Oryctolagus cuniculus: one gene and its partners. The main gene of each other region encodes a partner of the protein of the gene in region 2 in a complex. Links are inferred from orthologs where the notes say so. Each region holds a gene or a part of one and is shown on either strand. Other genes may lie near its edges.

The links.
Region 1: the proteins of BCCIP (region 2) and TENT5C are in contact, whole or in part, in a cryo-EM structure (PDB 8EQB), measured with the Homo sapiens proteins. The link is inferred for Oryctolagus cuniculus from reciprocal best matches to the Homo sapiens genes BCCIP and TENT5C. Residues at the interface, in NP_510868.1 of Homo sapiens: Val57, Asn58, Ile59, Glu60, Phe61, Glu62, Ala63, Tyr64, Ser65, Arg136, Gln146, Cys153, Lys155, Ala204, Gly205; in NP_060179.2 of Homo sapiens: Asp90, Asp92, Glu102, Gln106, Arg109, Lys135, Glu136, Val139, Gln140, Lys141, Leu142, Val143, Lys144, Val145, Cys146, Thr147, Asn164.
Region 3: the proteins of BCCIP (region 2) and TENT5A are in contact, whole or in part, in a crystal structure (PDB 8EXE), measured with the Homo sapiens proteins. The link is inferred for Oryctolagus cuniculus from reciprocal best matches to the Homo sapiens genes BCCIP and TENT5A. Residues at the interface, in NP_510868.1 of Homo sapiens: Val57, Asn58, Ile59, Glu60, Phe61, Glu62, Ala63, Tyr64, Ser65, Leu66, Gln146, Val149, Leu150, Phe152, Cys153, Glu154, Lys155, Asn156, Cys157, Glu158, Lys159, Glu163, Lys167, Leu203, Ala204, Ala206, Thr225; in NP_060103.2 of Homo sapiens: Arg87, Gly88, Asp139, Glu151, Gln155, Lys158, Lys184, Glu185, Val188, Gln189, Lys190, Met191, Val192, Lys193, Val194, Cys195, Asn196, Asp199, Trp201, Asn213, Arg289, Lys295, Glu331, Arg334, Gln341, Asn342, His343.

What each region holds. Positions count from the first base shown.
Region 1 is NC_091438.1:52,808,630-52,818,892, forward strand, and holds the start of TENT5C (terminal nucleotidyltransferase 5C), read right to left. Parts: upstream 5,591-10,263; 5' UTR 5,333-5,590; intron 1-5,332. UniProt on the Homo sapiens protein: Catalyzes the transfer of one adenosine molecule from an ATP to an mRNA poly(A) tail bearing a 3'-OH terminal group and enhances mRNA stability and gene expression.
Region 2 is NC_091446.1:5,834,359-5,844,446, forward strand, and holds the start of BCCIP (BRCA2 and CDKN1A-interacting protein), read right to left. Parts: upstream 6,409-10,088; 5' UTR 6,369-6,408; coding exon 6,201-6,368; intron 2,757-6,200; exon of another isoform or gene 2,069-2,756; intron 1,962-2,068; coding exon 1,887-1,961; intron 1,253-1,886; coding exon 1,172-1,252; intron 1-1,171. UniProt on the Homo sapiens protein: During interphase, required for microtubule organizing and anchoring activities. During mitosis, required for the organization and stabilization of the spindle pole.
Region 3 is NC_091436.1:90,751,461-90,761,789, reverse strand, and holds the start of TENT5A (terminal nucleotidyltransferase 5A), read right to left. Parts: upstream 6,365-10,329; 5' UTR 6,211-6,364; coding exon 6,191-6,210; intron 5,987-6,190; coding exon 5,443-5,986; intron 4,339-5,442; coding exon 3,562-4,338; 3' UTR 1-3,561.

The DNA of each region.
Region 1 (10,263 bases), on a different chromosome or scaffold from region 2:
AGCCATGAGCCTTGAAATGCAGCAGGTTCAAATAAGTGCAGGGGCTGGCGCTGTGGCGTAGCAGGTAAAGCCACTGCCTGTAGTGCTGGCATCCCATATGGGCACCGGTTCAAGTCCCAGCTGCTCCACTTCCAATCCAGCACTCTGCTATGGCCTGGGAAAGCAGTGAAAGATGGCCCAAGCCCTTCTCCCTCTGCACCCACATGGAAGACCCAGAAGAAGCTCCTGGCTTCAGATCGGTGCAACTCCGGTCGTTACAGCCATCTGGGGAGTGAACCAGCAGATGGAAGACACCTCTCTTTCTCTCTCTCTCTGTAACTCTGCCTTTCAAATAAATAAATCTTAAAAAAAAAAAAAAACAAATAAGTGTAAAATACACACTAGATTTCAAAGACTTGGTATGAAAAAATAGAAAATAGCTCATTTATATTTTTATATTCAAATCACAGTATTTGATATGGTAAACAGACCCAGTAAGATGAATTCCACAACTACTGGAAGGTTCACTGTGCTTCTCCTGTTTCTATTGGTCTAGGCGATTGCCCTTATTACAATGAAGACAGCGAAGCTTGAAGAGCCAAGAGTTCCGCCAGGACCAGAACCCAGGTCTCCCCACAACTGAAGGCAGCCAGCCGACAAGGCAGCGAGGTGGGGGAATAAAGACTACAAAGGGCCTGGGCAGGGGAGAAGCAGCCGTTACGTGGTGTGAGGTTCCCAGCACACGGAACCAGAGCTAGTTCCTAGCTGAGCAACCCTGGCAAGCAGCCAGACACAGCGCAGGTGCTCAGCTGGCAACGCCTTTCACCTCCACCCTTGGATCAGCACACTTCCAAAAAGTGACTCCATGTGATTGACAGAATAATGTAACACCCCCAGCACCAGGCAGCTGCCGGAGACCTAAACGCTCATCTTGGACTCTGGCAAGCAGAGGGCAGGGATCAACAGAGTGTGTGTGGGTGAGGGGTAGGCAGCCGGGCTAGGTGGAGTGTTGCCTTCTCTCCTATCCTTGTAAGGGCTAAGCAAGTGGAGAGGGCAGGGTTCATGCGTCACTCTCTCCTCAATAAGTTCTTATGGAGGAGGTGCTCAACACAGACACAGGTAAGGAACTTTTTGTGCTCATCTCATGGAAGACAAAAACCAGAAAATCAGGTGCCAGGCACAACGGTACAGAAGTAGTACTGCAGAGGAGAGGCAAGGGGACAGGAGCCATGGCTTCAGAAGCCTGTGCGAAGGGCCCAAAGCTGACCCCCATCACGTCTGGGGAGGAAGGGGGAGTGGGTACTCTGCAGCTAGGGAGGGCAGGCACAAGACGGGACAAGGGAGGTCAAGACAAGAGTGAGAAAGGAGGCTCTGTGTTATGAGGAAGGGCAGCCCCCTTGAGTGGCTGCAGAGGGTCCTGGGAGCCTGGGACAGTGGAACTGGCCAGAGGCAGAGAGATGTGCTGGGCCAGTGCTCTCAGCAGGCAGCTGTCCACAGGCCCCTAAACCAGGTCAGTGATGACAGTGGGAAACCAAATATAAAAGAGAGAAAGCATCAGCAGAACGAGCAACTGAGTGAACGTGGAGAGAGACAGAAAGGCTGAGCGAGCCCTGGGCGGCTGGGGGCGGGACAGCCCGGGGAGGCTTCAGGAGCCTCAGCTGTTGGCCAATTAGCAGGTCTCGGCCCTGGGCGCCAGACCTATACCCCTGAGGCCTCCAGAAAACCAAGACCCAGAAACTGCCCTGCACTTTAGGCTGGGGGCTTTGGGTCCAAAAAGGTTCCCTCCCATGCCTCGGCCCACCAGGAAGACGCCCACCAAAAGCACGCCTCCTACTCCGACAAGGAATGGCAGGGGCGCGCCCACAATCCACACGACGACACGGGCAGGCTGGGGTTCTCAGCAAGCATGGACTTCCCCACTGCCCCTGACCTGCAGCTCACTAACGAGGGCAAACCGAGCAGCTCCAGGGCAGGATTGAAGTCAACCCAGCTCCTCTCTCGCACAGCGGCCCGCGGAGGCTTCCGCAGGCCCTCACATACCATTGCCTTGGCCTCCACTGCACCTGGCACAAAGCGCTGCCTAGGAAGCACTTAACCACTTACTGCCTCCAGCGCTGCGACCCAAGAGGAAACGCTGCACACTCGAGTGACCAAGCCTCCAAAGGCTCTGCGGCTGAAAAACATCCCACGCGGGGGGTTGCTTAACAGCAGCAGTTATTTCTTCATATTGGTTCTTTCCTGTTGTTCCAAGAAGCTCCCCAAGCTCCGCAAACAGTTTTAGAACAGGCTACGGGGCCAGCTGCACACGATCTATTCATTGGAAACAATTCACAAGGCTCCCATACAGAGTTGGGCTATGTAATGACAATTCTCCCTCCAAGTCATATACATTCCAAACACAAGCTTATTTATCATGCAGGCAACGAAAGGGTTAAAAGAAAAGTTAGAGCACTCTTCAGTCCCGGAAATATCATAAGATTATCAGCACTGTTGATGTGCCCAAGTGGCTTTACAGATGGGAACATTTCTCTGAATTACAAAGGTGCCCTGCTTCATCGTAATACGACTGATGACAATTCAGTGTGCCACAGCCAAAGCACCAAGACCGCAGAAGACATTATTCTGTGCTGCCCTGCTGACTTCAGTGACAACATAACAAAGCAACAGACTTTATCTAGCCACACTCACGGTTTTTCCGAAGTGACACTTTAGACTCTGTATGGCTCCTTGTTAACCACAAAACTAACACTCTCTCTCTCACACACACACACACACACACACACGAGCGATACAACTGCAAGTCAGGTGCAACACCACGAAACCCAAACACAACAACACAAGTTTAATTTAACTCGGGGAACTAGGCCTCGGCTGCCTCATCCTCCCGCAGTGATGAACAAGGTTCAGCACATCCATTCAGAACTCCTGGGTCGTCCTCCTTCTCCGGCTGACTCCGTGAATACAACGCATCCAAGATGAAAAGGGAGGACCCCGGTACTACCTACTGAAGCAGGAAGAAAAGAAATTAAAATAGTTTTCTCATTGTGTCTCAAGTGTGTCCAGTGAATAGTAAGAATAAGGGCACGATGGTGCACTTTTAAATTATCTTTGTTGCCAGGCTGTTCCTTGGACTTTCAGAAGCATGAGGAATTCTCTGTTCTGATGGGTTGTGCAGGATGTACATGGTCTGCCCTGACCTTGAACACAGGGCAGGATGGCTAAATATGTGCACTGTTGGGAGATAGGGCTGGGCGGGGGAGGCAGGGACTCAGGATAAGGTGACTCCTGTGGTAGCAGGACAGCTGGAGAAACTAAGCAGGGAGAGCTGGTGCTCAATCAATAACATTCATTCTGTAACACACACACAAAACAAGTAAACAAACAAAAACCCAGCCAGGCCCTTTCCTTCAGAGGTGCATGAATTTAATCTCTGGATACAAGGCTACTATTGTGGAACAAACTCCTCGTTAGGAAGAGCATGGCTGTTAGTTCTGTGTGCACACACCAAATGACTTATGAAATTAGGGACCTTCCTTTGGTAACTTAGATGCCTCCTGATAGACTTTTTTTTTTTTTTTAACTGTGGTCTTCTGGGGACACCTCCTGCAGCTCCCTGAATAATTACACACAATATACCAAAATCTTCTCTCCAAAAACTGCTAAGACAGGAGCAGGTGTATACTCCAACAGACAAGGTTTCAGGGACCTGAAGTACACGAAGCTTCACCCCAGAGATCATGTTTTGCTTTTTTTTTTCATTTGCAAAGCAAGAATGTCAAAGGACAGAACCACCACTGCCCCAGCCCAGACTGCCTGCCTCCCTGCCAGCAACAGAAAAGTCAGCATTTTAGTCCCCACCCTGCCCCCCCACAACTGCAGGGTCTACGGGGCGGGGTCCAAGTCCCAAGTCGGGCTGGAAGACACGGGGCAGTTCTTGGTAAGCTCCTCCACCAGCTCACGGTGCCTGGCTGCCTGCCTGCCTGGCTTGCTTCCTTGCCAAGTTACTCACGTTGAAAGGTCGGTGCAGCCAACAATGGCCACCCTCATCCTCCCAGGAGGACAGCCAGCATTTAATAATCTGAGCTTTCCGTCCTGGGGTGCTTCAGGACTCCAACCCCTACCCACCATCCTGAATGCCAAGTGGTTACAATACAAATGCTTACACACATAGTCTTTATGGAAATGGGCTGCAAGTGCGCTTCCAGCACTTCCTCGTACTCTTGTCATACAAGCTACAAGCCTTTTTTTTTTTTTTTTTTTTTTTTTTTTGAAAGCAGATCCGCACTTAAAGAGCTGGTCGGAGCCTGCAGAAGCTTCTCTCTCTGGGCACACGGGGAGCCGTCCCTCTCGGTCCGGCTCAGCCCCAACAGCCGGCGCCACGGACGACCGGCGCGTTTCTCCAGGAAGCCTCGCTCACTCCGAGGAGGCGCGCTCGGGTCTCCTCGCTGGCGCTCGCGGCCTCAAGGCGGACACCTGGACTCCGCAGGTTCGTCGCTCTCCTTCGCGTCCCGAGATCTCAGCGCCAGGAGCCCGGGACCGGGACACCACGCGGGGCCCACGCGCCTGGAGGCCAGCCGCTGCGCCGCTATCCAAGTCCGCAAGACCCGTCGGGGCTTCCCGCCCACGCGGTAAGCAAGTTTGGTTTCCCAAAGGGGTAAGAATCGGGTCCCGCAGACGCTTTCCGAGAGACACGCGCGCACGAGCCCCTCGCTCGGCTCCTGGGCTGCCCTCGGTGTGTCCACGGCGGACAGCGAGTCCACCGACAGTCAAGGCTGTCCCGCCCCTCTCCGTACAGCCCAGACCCTGGCTCTGCGCCCAGGCAGCGCCCCGCCCCTGCCCGCAACTTGCAAGCCTCGGACCGCTCCGTCTCCAAGTGCGCCCGGCGGAACCGCCGCGTTCGAATTCGCGCTCGGCCCGCCAGAGCCCGCGGGAGCGTAGGGGCGAGCCCGAGACCGCCAGCAAGGCCAGTGCGGTGGGGCCTCCGAGCGGGCCCGGAGCGGGCCCGGAGGCGCTCTCGGCGCACTCCCGGCCTCCCTGCCTGCGCCTGCCCCGCGGGACGCGCCGAGCAGGAACTCGCTCCACTTTGCCAAGCCCCGGCCGCAGTCTCCGGAAAGTTGTAGCCTTCTTTCTCTCTCCGGGCGGGCGGCCGAATCGTGGAGGGAGCAGGAGGCGAAGGCAGCCCAGGACTGGGGCACCTGTCCGCGCCTCCACTTCGGTCCCCGCTCCCCGCACCTGGCTCGACCAGGACGGGCGCACCGCTCGCTAGGGGCGGACCCCCGAGGGCCGAGCGTGCGGTTCGCCCCGGCCGCCGCGGCACCCGCGCACCTTTGGAGGAGGGGGGTCGGGGACTCACCTGGGCGGTGGAAGAGGCGGCGACAGAGGCAGGTCCTTGGCGTGGGCAGCCCCCAGCAGGAGCGGCGCGGTCACTGCAGCCCCCAGGCAACGGCACCGAGTGAGCCGTCCAGCCGCCGCCCCCTCCGTTCTTATACGGCCTGGCCACGCCCCCGCCCGCCGCCGCGGCCGCCGGGCCCCCGCCTCTAAGCCTGCCCTCCTGGGGGAGCCAGGGGCGGGGCGGGGCCGGCGCAGGCCCTCGGGAGGAGTCGGCCGGCGCGCTGACGGCGGGGGCGGGGCCGGCGCTGCCCTCTGATTGGCCGCTCGGGTGAATGGTTGCCGAGAGACGAGTAAATCTTCTGCGGCGGGGAGGGGCGGGGCGCGGCGCGGCAGCCTTGCGCAGGCGCAATAGAGAGGGGCTGTGTCTGCACCCCTGACTTCGGCGTTTGCCGGGACGGCTCTCTCCTTTCTGCCCTTCCCCTCGCAGGGTAACTCGACCCCCCCCCCCCAACAAGCTTCTCCCGCCTCCAGTCCGGTCCCTTGCAGCCTGCCTCTCTTACGTTTCTCCGGGGCTTTTCGCACTGGTCCCCCTTCCTCCAGCAGCGGACCATGAGGTGCCCATGCCTGCATCCGGCGCTGTGCGTGAAGTTGGAAGAAGTGTGGCTTGAGGGCCCTGGGAACCTTTGGGATTGCGCAAGCCCCGCTTGGCTGGGGCTGGGGCTGGGGTGGGGGTGGAGGCGTGGTCACGGGGGCGCGGTGGGTGAGCAGGCTGCAGGGCCCACCTGTGGGCAGTTACTGGGCTTGAGGGCCTGGGGAAGCCGCGGCCAGCCCCGCACCCGGAACGCCTCGGGGCTCAGCCGTGTGTGTTACATAACGTGCGGGCGGGGCCTGAACGCCGTCCATTCACCCGCAGGGGGCGGCGTCCAGCCCAGGGCCAGCATTCAGACTCGCTGGGGTTGGCATCTCCGTTCACCACCAGCGTTAAGGCCCTGGGTGAGCAACCTAAAGGACTCTCCACAAGCCTCCACTTCCTGGCTGCAGGCTGGGACCCAGCCTGGGACGGCTTCGAAGGGTCGGACTAGTGCTGAGTCGGAGCTCCCTGGGTTTGGAAAAGTTGATCAGTGCAGCGTCTGGTATAAGGTGACCCCGTGGCGAATGCTGCTTATATCTAATGGTAGCCGTTATTCATCAACAAACAGTCGTTGAGCTGGTTTTCATCCTCTAGTAGCTGCGGAGGAAAAGTTGCAGTGTCTCCTTGCCCTCACCTCCCCCCATGTCCGTCCCTGCCTGAAATGCGTATGGTTCTCAGCCGCTGACAGCAGGCTGAGTTCTCAGATCAGTGTCTTCCTGGGAGTCCCCAGGAGCTGTAATGGGATAGGACCGCAGGTTGAGGTGCTTGTAAGAAAAGCCACAGTGGCCCTATTGTTGGTCCCAAAATGAGGATGTATGGTCTGGTATTTTTTCACCGTTTTTGAGGAATAGCATTAAGTAAAGTGCACAAATCGTGAAGTGTGCAGAATGATGATTTTTTTACACACGTGTGCAGCCACGTACCTGCCACCCAGATCCACATACAAAACCGTGAGGTTCACTCTTGTGTCTAACAGTGGCTCGTTCTTTTTCATTACTCTTTATTACTTCATTCTATAAATATTCGGTCATTTGAGTTGCATCAGATATTGACTTTTCAGGAATGAAGCGGCCTGAACACTCTTACACGTCTTTTGGTCGACATAGCAAAATCATTTATGTCAGTTATACACCCAGACTGGAATTCCTGGTTCCTGGAGTAAGCCATGTGAAGCTTTAGATATATTGCCAAACAGTTTTCTAAAGTGGTGTAACAATTTATGTTCTAACCAGTGATGTGAGATTTCTCGAAGCTCCACATCTTTGCCAGTATTTGTACTGTCAGTCTTTCGAGTTTACGAGAAGGGAGGAGGGGTGTGTATTTCATTCTGATGTAAATTTGCATTTCTCTGATGATCGATGATGGTGAACAACGTTTTAGATGCGTCTTGCCATTCTGGCACCTGTTGAATGAGGTCTCTGTTCAAGGCTTTTGCCCATTTTGGGGGAGGTGTCTGTCTCATTGATGTGTAAGAACTCTGTATATTCTCAATACGGGTCCTTTGTCCAGGGCATTATGTATTACAAATATCTTCAATCAACCTATGACGTGCTTCTTATTTTAATGTTATCATTGATAAACATAAATTCTTTTTTAAATTTTATTTATTTTTATTTGAAAGGCAGAGTTACAGAGAGGGTGAAGCAGAGGCAGTTAGGGAGAGAGAGAGATCTTGCATCCTCTGGTTCATTCCCCAAATGGCCTTGATGACTGGAACTGGGCCAGTCCGAAGCCAGGAGCCAGGAGCTTCTTCTGGGTCTCCTGTGTGGGTGCAGGGGACCAAGCACTTGGGCCATCTTCTACTGCTTTTCCAGGCACAATAGCAGGGAACTGGATTGGAAGTAGAGCAGCTGGGACTTGAACCGGGGCCCATATGGGATGCTGGCACCACAGGTGGAGGCTTAACTCACAATTGCTGCAGTGCCAGCCCACAACATAAATTCTTAATTTTAAAATTTATGAATCTTATTTTTATGACTAGTATTTTTATGTCCTGCTTAAGTCTCTGCCTATCCTAAGGCCAAAAAGAAAATCTCCTTTGTTTTCTTCATTGCTTTCACTTTTTCTATCTATAAGGCCTTGGGTCAGTAACTTAGCCATCCTTCCATAAATTATCTCCAATCATAAAAAAATTAATACAGATTATTGCATTGGCTTTGGCCATTTCAACTGTTTCAGTGCCTCGTGGATACAGTTAGCACAGGTGGCCTCAAGGTAGAACACAGGGCAAAAAGTCTTAGCCTAGAATTTGACCTAGCACCTTTGCTTGGCTGAAATTGTTCAACTTTCTGAACAAAATTAGGCAATTATATGGTGGAGAGATCGGGAGAACCTAGCGCCAAAAAGAAATTCATTATTCATACACAGGCATAATTTTTTTCCTTGGGATATTCATTATTTGACTTGTTTTTAGATTTTGGTTTCAACTGTGTGCTTTTGCTTTTTTTTTTTTTTTTTTTTTTTTTTTTTTTTTAATACAGTCTGTTCTTTCTACCTCATAAAACCATGGCATCCTGGAGCTGGAAGGAGTATTAGAAAGTACCCACGTCCTGCCTATCGGACAGGACAGGGAACCAGATATTGAAACTGTCCAATATACTGTGCCTCCTTGCCAAATTCCGGACCCTGCTGAAGCACTTGCAGTCAACGTGGTTTAAAAACCTCTACATTCCCGGTGGTTCACTGATTTGCACCTGGGAAAGCTGAGTGAGAGAAAAGCATTAAGGTCTTTAAGATGCAAGCATGCCTCACTTGTAGCAGTGGCCCTGAAAAACTTTGTTGTTTCAAGAAAGAAGTTTTGTACAGCGCCTAGCTGTGGCCTGATTTATCAGTTTCTTAAGTCCTGAGTGTTTGTACTACTGTATCTCAAGGTGAATCACCACTGTAGATGTTTATTCAAATACCCTTCTCTAAACATCTTCTTTAAACCAATTCTTAAGTTTTTTTATCAGTGTATGCAGATAAGGGCACAGTGTATAGAACACAGCTCAGTGAGTGTTCACAAACTGAACAAACCTATGTTACCGGCACTCAATCACAAACAAAGTAGCATCAAAGCCTTCCCTGGCAGATTTTAAAACCACCACAGAGGCACTGTCTGTGCTCTGGTGGGGCCAAGACATGACTTGGCTTTCTAATTCCCACCAGCACTCTCTCCAGGAAATGCCCATCTCTTCTCGGACTTCCTCAAGCAGTATTCTTGGGTGTTTCAGAAAGAGAATGAGATTCAGAGAAAGAAAACATTAGCCTATTTTTTTTTAAAGACTTATTTATTTTATTTGAAAGATTTACAGAGAGAGAAGGAGAAGCAGAGAGAGAGGTCTTCCGTCTGCTGGTTCACTCCCCAGTTGGCCACAATGGTCGGAGCTGCACCGATCTGAAGCCAGGAGCCAGCAGCTTCTTCCCGGTCTCCCACAGAGGTCCAAGGGCCAAAGGACTTTGCCATCTTCTACTGCTTTCCCAGGCCGTAGCAGAGAGCTAGATCAGAAGTGGAGCAGCTGGGACTCGAACCTGCACCCATACTGGATGCCAGTACTGCAGGCAATAGCTTTACCCGCTACACCACAGCACCAGCCCCAGAAGACATTAGTCTTATTTGGAGTTAAGTCCCAGAATGAATGGGAGGCAGGACTGGTTGGATTTGGTGGGAAAGAAAAAAGGGGGAGGTGGATCGCATCTATGGGCACAGCTCTGGCAGCCTGGCAGTCATGCAAAGACCCTATGAAGGGAATAAGACAGGGCTCCAGGAAGGAGGAGGGGGCATGGGTGACACTGTCAGAGAAAAGAAGAAGTCAAAGGTAAACCATGTGGACTTAATCGCTGCCCACCCACCCTGATGGTGTGGCTGTGGAGAAAGGGGGTGAGTCTGACTGCTTGGATCCCTGTCTCAGCCACAGTGCAACCTCGGACACAGAGCTTAACCTCTCTGAGTCTCAGCTTCCTCCTGCACAAAGGGGAAAGACAATGGCCAGGAGCCTGCTGCTTGGTGGAGGTGTGCGCTCATCGAGTAAAGTCAGGGATGCAGGCGAAAGCAGTGGCCCCGTTCACAAGATGCATCTCTTTGCCCGCCTTGTTCCCTTCTCTCACTGCGCTGTGGGGACAGCTTGGCAAGCAAGGTGGATGAGAGCAGAGGAGGGTCAATTGTCAACATCACACAGTGCTTGCCTTCTCTCCTAGGGCCCCAGAGTTCTTATCTGAGGAGTAACGTTTTTCAAATCTCCCTCCTGGTGAAAGGGATTCCATGGAAGTGTGAACTGCTAACCGATCATACCATATCTCACGAGTAACCATGGAGTCCACTCTGAACTTGCATTATTCCGAGA
Region 2 (10,088 bases):
ACGCTTGCCATTGCCAGCCACTGCTCTGAGTGCTCAGCTCCTCTGCTTCACCGCCCAGCCTGCAAGCCCGGTGCTGGCGTCATCTGCAGAAACGGAAACCTTCCAGCGGTTGCGGCGGACTGTGTCTTCCAGACGGCCCAGAGCTCTGTCCTGCCCCTCGTTCTCTTCTGACAAGGTGACCCACGCTCCTCCCATCGAGTGGGGGCGCGGGGCCCTGGGCAGCTGTCTGCTGATCAAATGACTGGTGGCAATGACACCATCACACAATTCTAAGCACTTCCGCCTGGCTCTTTCAGGGTGCCTGCCCTTGGAACCCAGCGCTGCAGAGGGGTCCCCGTGGAGAGGAATCCAGGCTCTGGCTCACCGTCCAGGGTGGGCTCCCGACGGACAGCCAGCTACCTTGCTAGTCGAGTGAATCACGTGTCATCTTGGACGAGAATCCTCCAGCCCCGGCTGAGCCTCTCAAGCTCACGGGACACCGAACAGGAGCTGGATGAGTCACGCCCACTAAGCCTCAGCCAGCCTCCAGTGCCCAGAGCTCTGATCCGACACGGGCCGTGGGGCAGCTGGTTACGCAGCAACGGGAGACTGGACAGGCCACCAGAGAGCAAGGACTCAATCCAGTCCTCGTTTTAATGGACTCTGAACCTGAAAACGACAACTCCCTCCTTCGAATGCCCCCCTCCGCTTAGCACGTGCCCACCACTTCCCTCCACCTCTCCAGTCACGCCTCCAGTCTCCTGCACTGGCTCTGTGCCGCATGTCACCCACCCGAGCCCTGGTGCTGTTACCAGGGTGCCTGCCCCCAGCCCACCCTGGGCACTCCCGGCCACTCCCCGACCTCATGGCCATCTATCTGCTGCCCAGTGCATCTCTTCCACACATCACAGGGCAGCTCGAACTCAAAAGGCAGGAATCCTCCTCCTCCTCCCCAGCTGCTGTCTCGGGTGCTCCAGCCCGGATTCCTTTTCCTCTCCCGGGTGCCAACCACACACTACGCCCCTCATACTTCATCTCCCACGTGTCCTCTGAATCAGCCCGCTTCTCCCTCACCATTGCCTTCCCTGCACTGCTGCAACGGCCTTCTTCCCAACGCAGTCACACTTGTGCCGACTGGAGCCGGACAGGACAGGGGACCGGGCACCAGCATCGACACAGCTGTCCTGCTCACCTTAATCACACTCCCAACATGGTTCTGCTGAATCAAGAGATCTGTTAGCTCTGCCGTGTTCACAGGAGCCTTTAGGAACAGCTGGAAGGGGAGAAAGTTACTTTCAATTAAGGTCAAAGCATCATTTCTAAAAAACTTAAAATCTCATGTTCAAATGAAAATAAGGAAATTGCAATGACTCCATCAAAGTGACCTAGAAAAGCAACCCCAGGAGGAAAAGAAATTCACAGGAGTGAACGCTGAAGGGAAGATTTCAAGAAAGAGGGTCCTGGGGGTGGTCCTGGAGGGTCAGAAAAGGGAAGGAGTAGGGGAGGGAGGAAGATGGACACAGACCGCGGCGTCGGGCAGAGGTCGGAGCGCCAAAGCCATGCCGTACAGGGGGAGGAGTCGATGGAGCAGCCAGCGCTGGACAGTGCCGATGGCCCACAGCTGTAACCAAGAACTGTTGTACCCACACGTGTGGGTGTGAACTACAGAGAACAGGACAGCAGCTCACACAATGAGCGGATGAGGGAGGGACACAGGCTGCTTGAACACACTCATCGGGGGTCCGGGCGCAGAGGCAGAGGCAGGGGAGTCAGCCTGGGGAGGGGGACATTCCTCCTTCCAGGGAGGTGCACACAGGAACTCTGAGAGGATGCAGCCAGGCAGCATGCAGAATGGCCTGGCTTTTCTTAGATGAAGAAATTTACGCGTAGTAAGAAAAAGACAATACCTGCTGCAGTAATTTCTTAATTCCGTCATAATCATTATCTGAGATGGAGTAAGCTTCAAAATCAATATTCACTTCCTGTAAATAATATACAAAACAGGTCACCACACATTTTTTAAAATGACATTATTTTAAAAAGGCATTATTTTCTAATTTGCAGATTCTTTTTTCTATTTGTTCTACAGAAGATACCAGAAAAAGGACAAGAAGACAACGCTACTTGAAGAGCTATGAATGCCTGGACTTCAAACAGGTTCTCTGGGTTTGGAATCTGGCTCTGAGCTGCAGGATGTCGGGAAGAAAGCAGACCTGGCTTTTGCCTTGCGGTCGTGTGTCTATTTAAGACACTCCTTAGGCTGATCCACCTGCCAGAGCCTGGGCACCCCACCCAGCTCGCTTCAGATCCTGACTCTGAGGCAGACTCTGCCACACTGTGTGAAACCCAGGGCATTGGCTGGGGAAGCTCCACACACGGTCAAACTCAACCAAATAACAGACTGTCATTGTTCAATTTTTTTTTTAAGATTTATTTTGCTTACTTGAAACTCAGAGTCAGAGAGAGAGAGGGAGAGAAGTCTTCCATCTGCTGGTTCACTCCCCAAATGGCCACCACAGCTGGGGCTGGGCCAGGCTGAAGCCATGAGCTTCATCTAGGTCTCCCACGTGGGTGCAGGGGCCCAGGCACTTGGGCCATCCTCTGTTGCTCTCCCAGGTGCACCAGCAGGGAGCTGGACTGGAAATGGAGCAGCCAGAACTTGAACCAGTGCCCACATGGGATGCCGGCACTACCGGCAGCAGCTTTATCTGCTACGCCGCAGTGCCAGCGCCAGTATTCAAGTCTTAAATGTACCTCTAAGAAATAAATTCTTCAAATAACCTTCTCCTTGCACTTCTTCCCTGTCAGGGTAGAAGCCTCGGCTCTCTGTCCTACACTGCTGTGGCATCCCGACTGCAGCAGACGCCCCATGGGTGAGCGTCCAGAACCCTGCCCCCGAGTAGGGGTCCTCCGAGGTGTTCCAGGGAGCAGCTCTGCAGAACACAGCACTGTCTCTCTCTCTCACACTCACACACACACACACACACACACACGCTGATGCGGAATCTACAAGACTATGGCATCTAGTCCTGCTCTTCTGAATAAAAATCTCTGTTGGTATTACTGACTGTCTGCTGTAAGGAGAAACAAAGAAAAAACAAACATTCCTGTAGCAGCAGAGAAGAGCAGGGCAGAGAACCGAGGGGGGGGGGTGGGGGTGGCGCTCAGCTTCCCATCGCTCTCCTGGACAGGACCCCAGCTACTCCTAGGCCCTTTTCTCCTCCGGAGTTGTCCTCTGGGGCTTCCAGGAAGCACAAAGTCCCAGCCCCAGGATCACAGAGACTAACTAAACACGCCTAGCCACTCAGCACTCCTTTCTGAGGTTCCCTAACACACCCTGCTGTCACTCGCCTGCTGCCCCCCTTGTCCTTTAAATCAGGCTCCTTAGGGCTTTAAATAACCACGCACAGTTCCTTATTTCCTCTATACTACAGATCAGAGGTGCAGCAGATCTCCAGTTTCTAAAGTAATTCTCATGGATTCTATACCAAGCAAATGAGCAAGCCTCCTTCAAATGAGAAAAAGGTCCACTGGGTGCACACGGGGAACTGACTAGAAGTTTCTTCAGTCCAAAGTCATAGAGGTGGGACTGGTATTGTGGTGCACCAGGTAAAGCCACCACCTGCGGTGCCGGCATCCCATATTGGCACCAGTTTGAGTCCCAGCAGCTCCACTTCCAATCCAGCTCCCTGCTAATGCACCTTGGAAAAGCAGCAGAGGACGGCCCAAGTGCTTGGGCCCCTGCTATCTCTGTGAGGCCTGGATTTGACCTGGCCCAACCCCACCAGGCCATTGTGGCCATTTGGGGAATGAATCTACAGATGGAAGATGGATCGATCGATCAATCGATTGATCTCTCTCCCTCTCTCCCTCCCTCCTTCCATCTGACTTTCAAATAAATAAATCTTTAATAAAAAAAAAGTCACACAGGCTTGGGTGTTTGGCACAGGGGCAGCTTGGGATGTCATACCCCATATTAGAGCACCTGAATTAAGTTCCGGCTTCAATTTCAATTCCAGCTTCCTGCTACTGTACACCCTGGAGACAGCAGGTAATGGCTCCAGTACCAGGGTCCCTGCCGCCCATGTGGGAAGCCCAGACTGAATTCCCAGCGCCTGGCTTTGACCTGGCTATTTTTGGGGAGTGACCCAGTGGACAGGAGATCTCTCTCTCTTTACTTTAAAATAATTAAGAAAAAAAAAAATCATACATGTCAGGGGTAAAAAAATCACAATGAGGGGCTGGCGCTGGGGCGTAGCAGGTAAGGCCACCATGGCTGGCGGTGCCGGCATCCCATATGGGCGCTGGTTCAAGTCTCAGCTGCTCCTCTTCCAATCCAGCTCTCTGCTATGGCCTGGGAAAGCAGAAGATGGCCCAAGTGCTTGGTCCCCTGCACCTACATGGGAGACCCAGAAGACACTCCTGGCTCTTGGTTTTGGATCGGCCCAACTCTGGCCGTTGTGGGCATTTGGGGAGTGAACCAGTGAATGGAAAACCTCTCTCTCTGCCTCTGCCTCTCGGTAGCTCTGCCTTTCAAATAAATCTTAAAAAAAAAAAAATCACAATGAGAGCAGAGTTAGAATTATAAAGTCTTATAACATCCCCCACTCCAGATTACTGTCAACATAAGTCATTCTTTCAAAAGTCGTCAATACACAATCAAATGCGCCTTGTTTCGTAAGTGCCCCGCAGACTGCACAAGCTGTTCTCCCGTAACCTGCCACGCAGCCCCGGCTGTAAAATGATGGCAGTCCCGGCTTCATGGATGATGTGAGCGTTCAACGAGTTCACACAAAACACGGAGACCGGAGCAGCAGGCACTGCTGTGAGTACTACTGAGGGTAACTCCTCACCAGCAGAACTGATCAGGGCATGTACGGAGTACATGAAAAAGCTCATGGATTTAAAAGGCTAGTCTATTTTGGTGCAAAAAAAATCTGAAATCCATGCAGTTTTTTGGGAACACATTTTCACGAACTTTCTGAAGCCCTCCTTGCAGGCATGGATTTCAAAAATTTTTTAAGATTTATTTATTTATTGAAAGTCAGAGTTGCACAGAGAGAGAAGGAGAGGCAGAGAGAGAGAGAGAGGTCTTCCATCCGCTGGTTCACTCCCCAATTGGCTGCAACGGCCGTAGCTGGGCTAATCCGAAGCCAGGAGCCAGGAGCTTCTTCCAAGTCTCCCACGCGGGTGCAGGGGCCCAAGCACCTGGGCCATCTTCTACCACTTTCCCAGGCCACAGCAGAGAGCTGGATCAGAAGTGGAGCAGCCGGGACTTGAACTGGCGCCCACGGGGGATGCAGGCATTGCGGGCAGCAGCTTTACCCGCTACATCACAGCGCTGGCCCCGAATTTCAAAATTTTTTATCAAAATATATTTCAGTTCCACTTTTTAAAAATTTATTTATTTAAAAGACACAGTTGCAGAGAGAGAGAGAGAGAGAGAGAGGCAGAAACAGAGTCTTCCATCCCCAGATGGCCGCAGGGGCTGGGCTGCACCAGGCCCAGGACAGGAGCCCGGGGGCCGGGGTCCAGGCTCTCCGGACGCCCTCCGCGGCTCTCCCAGGCGCAGGGGAAGCCGAGCAGCCGGGCTGTCACCGCCGCCCGACCCGCTGCGCCCCGGCGCCGGCCCGGGTCCCACTTCCCGCGCCCTGACGCCGTTCCAAATCCGCCAGATTCGTCATCGCAGACTCCCAGTGCCTGTTTGGCATCTGTGATGGGTGCCAGCCACACGGATGTTTAATCCCAGACGGCCCCACGGACAATGCAGGAAGCACCCCAAGTTAGCAAAGCACAGCTCCCAGTGACGAACAACGGGGGCGGCGGAGGAAGGGCGCCCCTCACCCACGCTCCTCCCGGCTTCCACCCTCCGCGACCTCGTGCCCGTCCCGGCCTCCCGCCCGCTCCCACGCGCCCATCCCCGCCGCCTCTCCGTCCCTCGGCCGTGAGGACGCGCGGGGCACGGCCGGGCTCCCGCGCAGCCGGGACAGGACGGACTCCGAGGCCCCGCCGCCCCACCAGGCAGCGAACCATCCACAGCCCCCAGGGACGCTCACGGCGGGCATCCGGGCAGGAGCCGCCGGGTGGAGAAGGCTGCAGCCGCCGCCACACACCCTCGGGGACCGCCTCGCCGCGCGGCCCACACCACGGGCCCACGGCCTCGGTCGCCACAAAGTTCTCTCTCAGGTGTAAATCTAACCGGGGTAGCAGGTGCTTCTCACCTCGTCAACGATCTCGTCGTCCTCATCCTCTTCTTCGTCGCTGTCTTCCTCATCTTCGTCCTCATCCTCAACTTCATCTTCCTCCTCCTGCTCATGGCGCTGGACCGGGGCGCCAGGCGGCCGCGGGACCCCATTCCCGACTGCTCGCCGCTTGGACCTGGACGCCATGTTGCCCCCCCACCGATGCACACTGCGCCTGCGCACCTCCCTGTCCTTTGACCTTCCGGATTAACGCATACCGGCTAAGGGGGTGGACCATTACAAAGGACGCCGGCGCAGAGGCCACGTGAGCCCCAGTAACCCTAATGGAGTCCAAAGACATATGAGCCCCAGTAACCCTAGTGGATTCCAAAGCCATGAGCTCTCAAAGTCGGGCTTTTCTATCTCCGCTCCTTTTCACTCCAAGGTTTCTCCTCCCCTTCGCGCAGTGGTTCGACCCACCCCGCGCGTGCCTCCTTCCGGCGGCCGAGTTGCCAGTGCGCACGCGCGAGCGCCCAGCTGGGCCAGGCGCGGGCAGTCTGACGCCTGTGCTGGGGTCTGGACGTGCGGGGGTCTGGACTTGCTGGGACTCGGCCCTCGCTGCGGTCCGCGCAGCTCAGACTACGAGGGGAAGGGGCCGGTCACCCCGCGTCGTCGCCCCTGCGGCCTCCTCGCTGGGTCCGCGCGACACCCGGGCAGTGGCCCTTCTCAGCGCGTTCAGCCTCACCTGCCCGCGAGGTAGGTGTCCTGCCCGCGGAACCTGTGACATGGAGCCCGGCGACGCGTCCTGGCGACGTGGGACCGCGAGTCCGGTCTGGCCCCGGCTCCTAGGTCAGCGGGCCCGTCCCGATGCCCCCGCGCGGCCTCCCCCACAGCCGCTGGCACGGGCTCGCCCGGGACCGAACCCCTGGCCTTGCTGACCCTCTTGGCCTGCAAGTTTTTCAAGACAGGAGCCAGCCCTGACATGCGTGGGGGTGCGGGGGGCGGGCGCGCGGGGCCTGGGCGCCCTGCCGGCGCCTGCTGGGAGGCGGTGACGGCTCAGGTCCTTGGGGCCCTGCCACCCCTGCTGGACACCTGGATCGAGGTCGGGGCTCCTGGCTTCAGCCTGGCCCAGCCCCCGCTGCGGCCGGCGTTTGGGGTGTGAGCCAACGAGTGGGTGGGCTCTCTTGCTCTCTCTCTCTCTCTCTGCCTTCCAAATAAATAAAAGAAAAAAAGACCCAGGAGAGAGCGCGCTAACGTATCGATAGAGTTGTGTCTTGAGTGATTCTTCCCATTTCTTCATACCTTCTTATTGTAAAATATACGTAACAAAAGTTACTGTTTTAACCATTTCTAAGCTCAGTAGCGTTAAGCATGTCCGCATTGTGCAGCCATCACCACCATCCGTGCTCACAGCTTCCCTTCCTGCAGAGTTGGGTTCTGTGCTCATTAGAGAGCATCCCTGGGCTCCTCCCCTGCCCGGCCGTGGCTGTGAGGTCGCAGCTCTGGGACCCTCAGCAGGAGCAATCAGGACTGGCCCTCTTGAGGCTGGGCAGGATGTCTCCAGGTCAAACGGTGTTACCCCGTGTCTGGATTCCCGTTGTGTGTGTGCACCACATTCCGTGTATCTTTGTGGACACTGGGCCGCTCCTGTGTTTAGCTGTGGCCAGCACGGTTGCACAGACATCTCTCCCTCTTTCAGTTCTTTGAGGCCTGTACCTATTCTGTTCTGCTTTTTATTTTTTGAAGAACTGCACTATTTGGTAGTTTGCACATTTTGCACAGTGACCAAGTATCGTTTTGCTAGAAGTGGAGGAGGCTTTGTGCCCTGGGTTCCCCGCGTTGAGCCTGTGGTCAGAGTGTGAATTAGAGCAGCGATGTGATGGCCACTTGTGTTCTCAGTCAACAAAATACGGTAGGGGCTGGCGCTGCTCCACTTCCGATCCAGCTCCCTGCTAATGGCCTGGGAAAGCAGTAGAGGAGGGCCCAAGTGCTTGGGCCCCTGCACCCACGTGGGCGTCCAGGAAGAAGCTCCTGGCTTCAGTCTGGCCCATCACTGACTGTTGCGACCATCTGGGGAGTGAACTGGCAGATGGAAGATCGCTCTGTGTCCCTCCCTCTCTCTCTGTGACTCTGAGTTTCCAATAAATAAATAAATCTTTAAAGAAAAGAAAATGTGGATCTCTGTGTGCCGGAGCCTGGAACCACGGCAGGAGCGGTAGGGGCTGAGTGGCGCACAGGCCATCCTGTGGCTGCTCCTCCAACAGCTTGTGGTCCCCGCACCTGCTTGCTGTGTGCCCTGGAAGGATTTGTGCTTTACCAGACAATGTCAAGGTTGGGATGGGTGGTGTGGCGCAGTGGGTTAGCCACCATCCACGATGCGGGCGTCCCATATCAGAGCACCAGTTTGAGCCCCGGCTGCTCTGCTTTCGATCCAGCTCCCTGCTAATGTGCCTCAGAAGGCAGTGGAGGATGGCCCAAGTGCTTGGGCCCCTGCACCCACGTGGGAGACCTGGATGGAGCTCTTGGCTCCTGGCTTCTGCTTGGCTCCAGCCTCTGCTATTTGATTTACTCCATTTGTGGAGTAAATCAGCAGATGGAAGATTCTCTCCTTCTCTCTCCTCTCTCCTCTCTCCCCTCTCTCCCCTCTCTCCTTCTCTCTCCCTCTCCCTCTCTCTGCTGCTGCTGCTTGGCGATGCCAGATTCCTGGACTCCCCGGGTTGGAAGGCATATTAGATCAAGCAGAGGGAAACACTTAGGACTTATAAGAGTACTCCAAAAAATTTGTGGAAAATAAAATTTAAAAAGTAAGCTTATTTTGGTGTCAGATTTTTAAGTCCATGTATATCAGGAGTTTTCAGAAAGGTCATTATGAAAAAAAAACAACCCTGCCCCAGCATGTCTGAATTCACGGTGCAGGTCATCCAGGAGGGCAGCTGACAGCGAGGGCTGTGGAGTGTCCACAGGTGGGGTCTCTCCCTCGGGGGAGCCGCAGCTCCGCCCTTGCTGAGGCCTCTGGACCGATGAGTGAGGCCCAGCCGCACAGCCCAGCATGGCCTCCTTCTTAAAGCCCACCAATGGAGGGCTGGACCATGCCTCCAGAGGACCTGCAGGGCACACCTCAGTGAGCGTTGCAGACAGCTGTGATCCGGCCAGTGCGACACGTGAGAGTGCCCGTCACCCATGCTGGACCCTGACTGCATTTTCAGTAACCAGAAAATGATGGGAACCACAACTGCTCCTCCCCGGAGCGCCCCGTCTCAGCCAACACCTCGTGGAAGCAGGCAGACCTTCACCGAGGCTTCGTTGTTGGTGGAAGCAGGCAGAGCTTCACCGAGGCTTCGTTGTTGGTGCAGGGCAGTTCCTTCGAGCCGGATTTCCCTCCGATGTTCCACAGATGCTGCAGTGGTCCAGACCCAGTCAGGCAGGCCCTGAGGAGTGGCGCCCAGCGTTCGCGTCCACTTCCAGCAACGCACCCCACTGACTCATCAGCCACTGCGGAGTGTTCGTTGAGCAGCTAACCGCTGGCTAGGATGCTGTTACGAACGATCAGCATCATTTCTTTTGAGACCTTGGGTGGTCGTAAAGTGCTTCCCTCAGTACTCGGATGTGATGTTGCTGGTTGAAGAGCACTGGGCTCATCCTAGCCTGCGAAGATAATTCCTGTGAATATTTTGGTACATTTTCTTTCATATGTATGTGTATATGTAAGACTTACAAAGTCATACTGTTTGTGTAGTCCTGAACCCTGCTTTGTTTACTTTTATTTGTGATTATGTAATACTTGTGGGTATCTTCATGACCTGATGTAACTATGCTGTGTTGTCTTTAACCATCCCCTCTATTGAGTGTTGCACTGTTTTCAATTATTTGCAGCTATAAAGAATATCTACAGATTTATTTATGACTATTGCCTTAGTGTGATTTTTT
Region 3 (10,329 bases), on a different chromosome or scaffold from region 2:
TAACATAGAGATTCTTTCTTAGCATTGAAAAAGCTATGCTAAAAGAAATCTTAAAGAATGAATATATTTAAATAGGTGCTATATATGAAAGAACTTTTTTTTGGCTTTTTGGTTTCATCTAACACACTTCAACAAAAAAAGCTTATTTTTAAACTGCTGACAGCTTTCAACAAAATACATTTCATTTACAACATAGTTCACAATATTTATTTAACAAGTATTGCATGGAAAACAACTTTGTGCACAGTAAAGCAACCAACGGTAAGCAAACAGAAAGGGGTGGGAAAAACAGTATGTTCACTTTTCATTTCATTTCCTTCTTGGCTTGGGTTACAGATCATTTTCTATCCTTGTAGCTTTTGGAACCATGTTAAAATAGTCCACCCAATGTCAAAGTGAGCAGTTACTTGTGATTCCATTTCTGGTAGGGACAAGTCCACCTTGGTGTAGGAGTTCTGCAGGCAGCTGAATTTACTGCAAACGAAGTAAACTTTTAAAAGGGAACTGTTGCAGGCGAGTGTTCTCTGACATGCCTGACTGGACAGGTTAGAAGAGCCTCCAGAAGACAAAATATCTTCCCGTTTTAAAGTTACAGCACACGAGGCCAGATAAACACGAAAGCAAACAAATCACAGGCACTAACAGGGAGTTGAGAGCTATTCTTTTTCTCTGACCTATACACACGGCTCTCTCTCACCAGACATTCAAATTTTTAGGCCACATATCCACAAAGAGAGACATATATTCCACTGTGCATTCAACTACATACGCACAAGACTAAAGTACATACAAAATAGAAATAAATTATATACGTATTAAAGTAAATGCTGACAAGTTTTGAGTACAGCCTGGTCTAACTGAACGCCAGGTGCTGGCACTTTCAACTAAGCTACCAAACCTCAAGTAAGCAAAAAATGAATATAAATATTTGAGAAAAATGAGAAGTATATTTTCAAATAGGGCTCCTCCCTACAAAAATCTGTGTGATAAATTAACAGCAGGTTGTTGCAATGTCAGAGTCAGAGATCTCCAGACTCTTTAAAATAGTAAACAGCTAATTTGTCAAGAATCGGGATAAGAAGAAAGCTGGTCACCAGTGGCTCCTGTGTTCCTGAGCATTGCCTTAGATTTTTTGTTGCTGTTGTTTGTTTTTTTGTTTTATTTAGAAAACTTCCAAACAGCTAAACAGGCAGAGAGCTCTCGTTTCTTCTGATAGGTGAGGATCAGGCTTAATCTGTAAATTAAATCTTTCCTGGTACATTGCAATTAATTTTTCAACCCAGGGCTAGAGTGAAGGAGTCTGAGCCAAAGTGGGAGCAGGAAGAGTTCCCCAGAAAACAGTGGATGGCAACACAAGGGCTGTGTCAGCTCTAAGAGAATTCACAGGGAAGCTGTGACAGCAAACTCATTAGGTTTCTGTTAAGGTTTCAAAGAAAGCTGTACAAAATGTGTTCAGGTAGGTTCACCTGGATTAACCTAGCACTGAACATCTGAGAGATACCGAGATAACAAACAAGCAAACAGGTTGCACGCCAACAGGTGAATGCTATTTTCTCCCCCAGTCCTTCTTTAACTGATGACAAAAATCTTCTTGTTGAGTATTCAGAGGAATTTTCACAGGAAGCAGCCGTCCACTAGGGTTGATGGGGATTGTGTGGTTGTTTCACTACAGAAATGGAAGGTTTTATGTGTTGGTTCAATTTTTAGCAAATGCATTTTCAGAGACCAGTGTCTAGAGGAATTAAGGTTCGAGAAGAAAGGGCAATTTGGGGATCAGCCATTCTCAAACTGTAATGGTAATGCCAGTTCATTTCACAAAGCTATACTGGTCTCCCAGAGAAGACAAAATAAAGTTGGATTTGATTTAGTGAGAGATGATTTAATTACAGTACTAAATATTTAAATGCAGTGTGACAACCAGATCAAAGAAGTTTCATATTGGCATGATTTTATAAAATATTATATATAATATATATCTCATATATAAACTTTAAGCAATTGTGCAAATACTCTTTAAAAAGGGTCATTTCACATTTACTAAATTCTAGTGGTCCAGAAATGCAGAATGCATTCATTAAAAAATTCATTTAAATATTAATAAGTAGTGTTCAGATCACCAGAAATTCTTTTTAGCAGTTAGGAATTTAAGTAGCCTACCACTGATTCATAATCCACTAGATTATATACCATGGAGGCATGCAATTAATTAAAAAGGGGGGGGGTTCAAACTGTCAAAATGACAGTTCAATATATAAAGAGTGCTCTGCCAAACAAATATTCTCCCATTTGTGGAATTCTCTGGCTCATAAAAAAGGAAAGAAAAAAAAATCACTAAAAATGTATAATCTCTGTTCTTCCTATCAAATATATTACTTGCTTTCCTCCTTCATTTAATTTTTTAGTTGTGGGTTTTAACTCATCATTGCAATATGCCCATATCTCATATCATCCTGTTGAAAACATAAAAACATATAGTAAACATTTCCTATTTGATACATTATTGTAGATCATAGTCAATGTATTGTGTGTATACACACGATACGTGTATATATACACATAAAATACACACGTACCTATAATATCACACCAACAATGTCAACTTTATACACGTATTTGCCAAGAAAAAAATAGGGCATTTTCTCCACCATTCACAAGCTTATATGTTGTTTTATTTTCTTCTTGAGTCCCTGATAAAATAAAATAAGCATTAAACCATAAAACAATTTTCCACTTCAAATTTTCAGAAGGCAACAGGCACTTTGATGTGTATTGGTGTGTAACAAATATAGTATTCTTCATATATTTTACTATACCTCTTCTACTTGGGTATTGTTATCTGTTAAATCTTTGGTCCTTGAGCATACTTTCTTTGCCCCAGCTGTTTTTGCTTGCATTTTCACATTTTAAAAATGCGAGCTATGCACGCAGCTGGAATTAATGGATTGTGTCATCTTAAATTCTGCTGTTTGTTGTGAGAACTGCACCAACCTACTACTGTTCATTTGGAGCAAGCCCTTTCTGTTCGCACAACAGAAACACTTGCTACAAACTCAGATAGCAACACCAACATCGGAGTTCTCCTCCCTCCTGTACTGTTACTATCTGAACTCTGGAACTCACAAACAAGTGGAGGTGAGATCTTTTTTTCCTCTGTATTTTCCCTTTCAAGATTTTTCACCTTTAAAGGAAATTTTCCACTTTTTGTCTTCACTATGGCAAAGCTATGGGAGCACTTACTGCAAACCCATATTGTCATCAAGCAATTTTTTTCTCTTGTTATCTTAAGAGAACCTGGTTGCTTTTAATGACAGGTCTCTTTTGTTTCAGACAGAATCCAGTTGGGTAGGATAAAGGGAGGGTCAGGAAGGGAGATCTTTCAAGATCATGCTCCCATACCTACAGAAAGATCCACAAGCTTCGCCAAGCTTAAATCCTGGAGCATATCATCATTGCACAAAACACATCCCTAATCAGGGCTGGGTCATTCTTTTTGTTTGTTTTTCTTTTTTCCCCCCCATCTTGTCTGAAATGGCTTCCCCACGGGACATTTTTAAATGATTCTTAATTGCAGGGCAGCCAAGTAGAATATGTCTGTTGCTGGCATGTGAATACTGGCTGAACCTGTGCAATGTAGTAATTGCTGAAGTTGGCATCTGCTACATAGGGGGCCGGCTGGTAATAGCAAGTGACATTAGCCACATTAGGGATGACGTTCTGGTCAGCTAGCACCCGGATAGCCAGCATTGTGATAAGATTTAAAGTCTGTCTTCTCTCATGTCCCATTAGGCACACTGTGCTCTCATTCACCACTCCGTGAAGGGTCATGAGATAGTCGTACTTGCGGTCTTCCAAGCCCACGAAGTGGTTCTGCAGATAGGACTCCAGTTTTCTCTGCTGTTCTCCAATGTCTGAGAAGTCGATGAAAAACCTGGAACACATGTACCTCTGGAGGGTCTTGATCTCATCAGAGGCGGGCCTGAAGCCCCTCACTAAGAGGTTGCAGTACTTAAGCAGGCCTCCTCCTCTGATCTCCTCGGGATTCCTGGTGGCAATGATCTTGTTACAAAGGTGATCAAAGGCTTCGTGAAAATCACCATAAACACTCTCACCGATGATGGTGGGGTGAAATGTTTCGGTCATTGGATTCTCTGAACATTCGTAAAAGAGCAGAAGAGAGTCTAATTTGATCTGAAAAGAATCTACACTGAATTCAAACTGCCTCCGGAGGGAATCCACAAATTTCAGTTCCACATTTTTGCCACTGTTGTTTGACAGGGATATAAGACTCCATCGGTCAGAGTCATTGCACACTTTAACCATTTTCTGCACATAAGCTTCCTATAATTTAAAAGATAAAACAAGAAAATGAGCAAACCTAGAAAAAGCAATAAAATAAATAAAACTTCTTCATTGCTGAGAATAAATTTTGCACTTTTCCTTTTGTTTGTCAAGTTTCAGCAAAACACTACCTGCAGGCTTAAGCAGTCTTCTGAAGACAGGAAAAAAAATTTAACGAGTAGCTTCACTGTCTGGGAAAGAGACTAGAAGTAATAGTTTGAGGCTTTTGGCAGAGGCAGCACAGCAGTAAGAGGCTCTGTTGTCATGTCTGACTTTTGCAATTTTTTTTTTTTTTTTGAAAATAGTCTAATGGGCACCATATCCACACGGCGTCCAGGTAATATTCCACAGACACAGAAGAGCACGCAGTGGTTAGTCTCTCACCCCCGTCCCCAGACACCTCGTTCCCTTCCCCCTACTCCCTCCCCCCCCCCCCCCCCAGGCCGTTATCAGCATCCCATGAGGGTCCCTTCAGGGTTACTGTGCAGTTATAATCAGACACGAACTACAGTCCGACACTGGAAGGCTGACGCTTCCTCGGACAATTTTTAACTAATTACATAAAACGTGCCGTAAGCCAGAGCGGAGGGCGAGGAGAAGACAGTAGCACTAAACACTTAGCACCGAACCAATACGGAGCACCACCAGATACGTCCCTAATTCCCAGACTCGGCTGAAGGCAGCTAGGCAACCTATTCACATTTTCCGGTACAAGACGAAACCCACTGACTCAGTTCTGCTGCTGGCTGCTCCTTCCCCAACTATATCACAAACAACTGACTCCGTTTCAGTCTCCACCGATCGGAATCTACCCGGCCCAAGGTTCCAGCAAGAAGAGCCAAGGGTCAAAAACCCAGGGGAAAAGGAAGCCGCCGGGGCGCAGAGGAGGAAGCGAGAAGAGCGGTGGCGCTGAAGCACCCAAGTACACGCAAAGACGCAATGCCGTCCACGCAGCTTGGTTTACTCGCGGGAAAAAAGCAAAGTCACCAGGAAAGTCATTCCAGGGCGCCCGCACAGGCCCCCAGCCCTGCCTCCTACCCGCCGCCCCGCTCCAGCCCCCAGGCCCCCAGGCCCCCAGCGCGTCGGCGACGGAGGCGGCTTTACCTTGAGCGTGAGCGGCGTGATCTTCTCCTTGTTCACCCCTTCGGGCAAGAAGTCCAACAGGCAGTCCAGCACGACGTCTTTCACAGTCTGAAACTCCTCTTCCCCGCGCAGGTCGGCGCAGAAGATGAGGTCCAGGTCCTTGTAGCCCAGGCCGCTGTCCTGGTGCAGGACGTGGCTGGCGGCCGAGCCGTTGAGGCGCACGTCGCGGACGCCGATGCGCTTCTCCGCCAGGCGCCGCCGCACCACCTTCACAATCAGACTGGGCTGCAGCTCGAGCGTGGGGAAGTTGCCGCGCCCGTGGATCGGGATGGTCTCGCTCAGGATGCCGTCCAGCCGCTGCACTTGCTCCCAGGTCAGCACGTTGCAGTGCGCCGTGGGGCTCTCGCAGTAGTCCAAGCAGTGCCCGCCGCCGCCGTCGCCGCCGCCCAACTCGCCGCCCAGCGGGATGTAGGCACCGCCGGGCAGCTCGTCCTCGGCCATGGCAAAGTACCCTTCGCCCTCCGCCATGTAGTGCCCGCCGAGCGCCACTGGGCCCTGCTCAGTCCTAGGAGAAACAAGTGGGGTGCGGGGGTGGGGGAGAAAGGAGCACGGTGAGGACGCGCGACAGCGGCAGGCAGTGGCCCGCCGTGGTCTGAGCGCGCAGCCCCTCCTCGGCTCGCCCGGAGACCCTCCCCACCCCACCCCAACGCACCCCACCCCCCGCTGGCCCCAGCAGTGCCCCGCCGCGCCCCGCACAGCAGCCCCGCACCAAAAGTATCTCTGATGCATCTGGAAAGCGCAAGCGAGAGTCCCGTCTGTGTCACCTGGAGGCGGCCGCCCCTTCTAAGAGCGCAGCGAGCGAGGAACCGCGAGGCGGCAACACTGCCCGGAGCTGCTAGCGCACCGCCGGCAGCGGCTGGGATTTCGTTCTTCCCAGACCCCCGCCGCCTGCACCGCCACTCCCGCCCCTCGCCCCCGCCCGAGCCGCCGCCGCCGCTGCCGCCCCCGCTGCAGTGGTCCCGGAGGTGGCGGCTCCCGCTCCGCCGCCGCACACGCTCCTGTCTCTGGAGCTTTAGCAGTTGTGCGGGGGAAACGTCTTCAGTACTTTTTTTATACCGGGCTTCTCCGCGCTTCCGGGGCCCCGGCGCTGCGCGCTCGCCACACCCTCCTCATCTGCATAGGGCGCCGCCCCCGCCGCCGCCGCTCGCCGCCGCTCGCCCGCCCCGGCGTCCGGCGGAGCAGCCGCCGCGCCGTGCGCGGGGTGTCCACAGCTGGGAGCGCGGGGTGTCCACGGCCAGCAATGCGGGGGCTCCGGCCGCGGCGCTGTGCGGGTTTCCGGACGCGGGCGCTCGTGCGTGTATTTCTACAGATGCTAATTACGTACGCCACACGCAAGCCTCTTCTCCCACCTTCCCTCCCCTGCCCCTCCAAACAAGGAGACACTTAAAACGCCCTGTCCGAGGACTGAGAGGCCATGAATCCCACTAAATCCATGTCACCGGATCCCACTAGAATGGCCTAACTACAGAAACATCCCAAGCGAGAAATCCCGCCCGGGACCGCGTCCCTGCCGCGCTGGGGATCGAGCGATGCCGTCTTGGAAACTCTGTCTACACTCCGTGAACGAACTCGGTTCCCGTGCGGGCCAGCGAGTTCACGCGTCCCACGCAAACCGATCCCCTACGTGAGGGGCGGGCTGGCCGACAACTAGGTTTCGATTCCCGAAACCTCAGAACGCGCCGGGGAAGTCGCGGCGAGCCCGCGGAGACGCGGTGGGCGGTGCTGCGGCTCGCGGACGTGCGTCCGGCTGCGGCCGCGGGCGGCCCGGAGCGCGGCGGGGCCCGAGCGCGTCCCCGAGCGGCCGGCCAGTGGCCGAGCCCCGGGCGCGCCCCAGCGAGCGCGCGGCCGCCCGGGCGACGAAAGCGCCGCCGAGCGGGGCCTGACGCGCCGCGGCGGGAAAGCTGAGGCGGCGAAGCGCGTTCGGCGTAGCCCGCCCCGATGCGCTCATTTCCAGTGAATGAACATGTCAGTGGGAGGTGGCGCGGCGTGCAAAATACGTTTCAGAGGCTCCCCTGCTAGCGTCGCTCTCCTAAGCTATCCCTGCACACCCGCTCCCCCACCTTTGCAGACTGCTCCCCGCGCTCTCTACTTCGGTCCGCGCCCGCCGGCCGCTCGCCGCCTCTTTCAGCGGTTTGCTCTCCACGTAGAGGCTGTGGGAGGTTGAGGAAGAGGCGGCTGCGGGGAGAACGCTGAGGCAGCCGAACGCGCCTGCCCCCAAAGCCGGCGCAACTCCGGCCGCCGCTCCTGAAGTTGTGGGAGCCCGGAATTAGCCTCCGAAGCTGCGGGGCGTGAGGTGCGGGACTCTCCCCCGCGGCGCCGGCAGCGGCGTGACGCCGCCGCCCCCTGCCGGCGCCCTGCGGAGCTGCGTCCCAGGACGGAGAGCCGTGCCGGCCGCGGCCCCTCAGCCGCCCTCGCCGCCTGAGGAGTGGGCACCTGTGGTCCCTGTCAGCATGCTCCCCGGAGGGGGAGACATAGAAAGGCAGAATGCTTGAGCAAGGATGGGTAGCAGTGAGTTTGCTGGTGCACTGAAGGAAGGCTTTTGGGTTGCAGGGAGTTACGGAGCATCTCTGGGCCTGCCAGTGCTTAGCGGTCTGCACAGGGATACCTCTGTCAGTGCTGAGCATGGGATGTCTGCGGCTTGTCAATACCTTGTCGCTGGAGGACAAGGTAAGTACAAATAGCAAAACGTTTTTTTTTTTTTTTTGAAAGTGGGAAAAGGCCCATATAGATTGGCTCCCTTCGGTGGCCAGTGTGAATTCTGCCCGTTTTTAAAACATGGCCAGAAAAATCATCTATTAGATGCAGCGTACTAGAAAAAATCAAGTGTTTATGCCCACTGTAGTTATTTTCTAAGTTACTTAACCTTCCGTTAAAAATGAAAAAAATAAAAAGCAGAAGCTGTGCCCATCCCAGGATCTTATTCTGTGGATCTAGTAAGCTGCCAGGTGGTTCTGACACACACGTGCCCAACCCCACTTCGCGCTTTCCTGACAGCAGCTACTACAACCCTCCACCCCTTTCTCCAAGTGGATACCCTCTCCCAAGCTGAGGCTGCCCTTGCTCCCATGGCCTCTCCCTAGCATGCAGGCCATGACTGAGAGGTGGAAGCAGAAGATGAATCTGGACATTGAGGGCATGCTGTCACACTCTACCGAACCTGAGAAGGGAGCCTCTGAGCAGCCCTGGGGCAGGACTCATCCGCGCCCCCCCCCCCCCTCCAGGACTTGTGGCTGGCACTTCCCCAAACCTTTCACTTAAGCATTCTCCACTTCCCAGCCATAACCCAGACCCTGCTGACTCCTGTACTACGGCACTCAGGACGTCTTATGCTTGACAGTGCCTTGGTGGACAATTTAGTCCTTGGATCAATATGTGTTCGATTCATAGCTGCCTCTTGTTACATACTGTTGAATGACAATGTTGTTCATTGTCCCTCTTTTTTCTTGTCCTACTGAAAGGTAATATTTACACTCGGGGGAAAAACATTCGTCCTTACATAAAATTGCAAATTTGCAATTGCCAGCATTAACATTTTTTCTAGATAACAAAATAATTATCCAGTTGTAAATTCCAAAATAATTATCCAGTTGTAAATTCCAAATACATTCACAGCCAGGAACTTTTTCAGCGTAGTTACTCTTAAATTGAAGTACAGGATTGCTTTGGTTTTCATGCTTTAGCTCCTGAACCTCACTGGTAAGTAATTTTCTTGTTCACATTTAAAAGAAAAAAGTGACAATGTCATACCAGGAGTTGAAGTTAGGACCACCACAAAACTGAAATACAGACAGTCTAAATATAGATTAATTTCTGAGGGAGCTAAGAATCTTTATTTAAAATTTTTAAAGGAAAGCCTTATTTACATTTTTGAGAGAAACATGATCTTGATTGAAAAGTTATAATCCATACTGAAATAAGAATTAACAAGAAGAAATTTGGTATTGGCTTTTAAGAGGGTTACTATTATTAAGGTTGTTATTATGTACCAGCCAGTGTTCTCAGTATTTTTATACATTACTTCTTTTGAACTTTCTTAAAAAACAGAACTTTATATATTTTCCAAAAATAAACATAAGGAGTAAGAGGGTAAGTAATTTCGAGAAGCAGCAGAACCTTGATTTGGACCTGCAGTGTTGGGCCCCTTATGTTCTGGGAGTCTCTATCTTTACATATTCCTTTTAGTCTTCCCTTTGGACTGCAACCATACTCTACTGCTTCTTCCTTTCCAAATTCTGGATGTTCACATTTGTCATAGCTGCACAGGCCAGGGCATTCTATCCTGCAAGAGTTGAAAACCAGAATGAACAATAGCCTGACGGAGCTAGTGGGAGCTTTGAATGACCCTCCCAGCAATGAGTGGAGAGCTAGACAATATGCTCACCAAGAGTTTTCAGGAAACCCACACACACTGAACCACAGCAGTAGGTTTGAAGACTGCCACAAAGTCACTTAGCAATGATGCTCTCTTTCCTTTGTTGCACTGTTTGCTTCCTGTCTTCTCAAACATGGGAATTTCAGAATATAAGAAGCAAAGGAGCTTGAAATTATTTTCCCAAATTCATGCTGAAGGGGACATAGAGGAGAGCAGAGAACACTGCCAGTAAACCTACTACTTCCCTCTCACCCAGTGCACTAGCCAATCTCCTTCATGTTTGTGTTCCTTTCTTGCTTTTTTTATGCCAACCCTTTCCTTTATCTCTTTGATTTTCCACCTACTACCCCTTCTGCTGTTTGATCCTTCCCACGAAATGTGGCATGACCCTGCAGAAGCAGCATGCATACAGGCAGAGCAGTGGCCATATTAGGAGTTTGAGGCAATTCCCACCACCACTGTTTGAAACCTTCAAA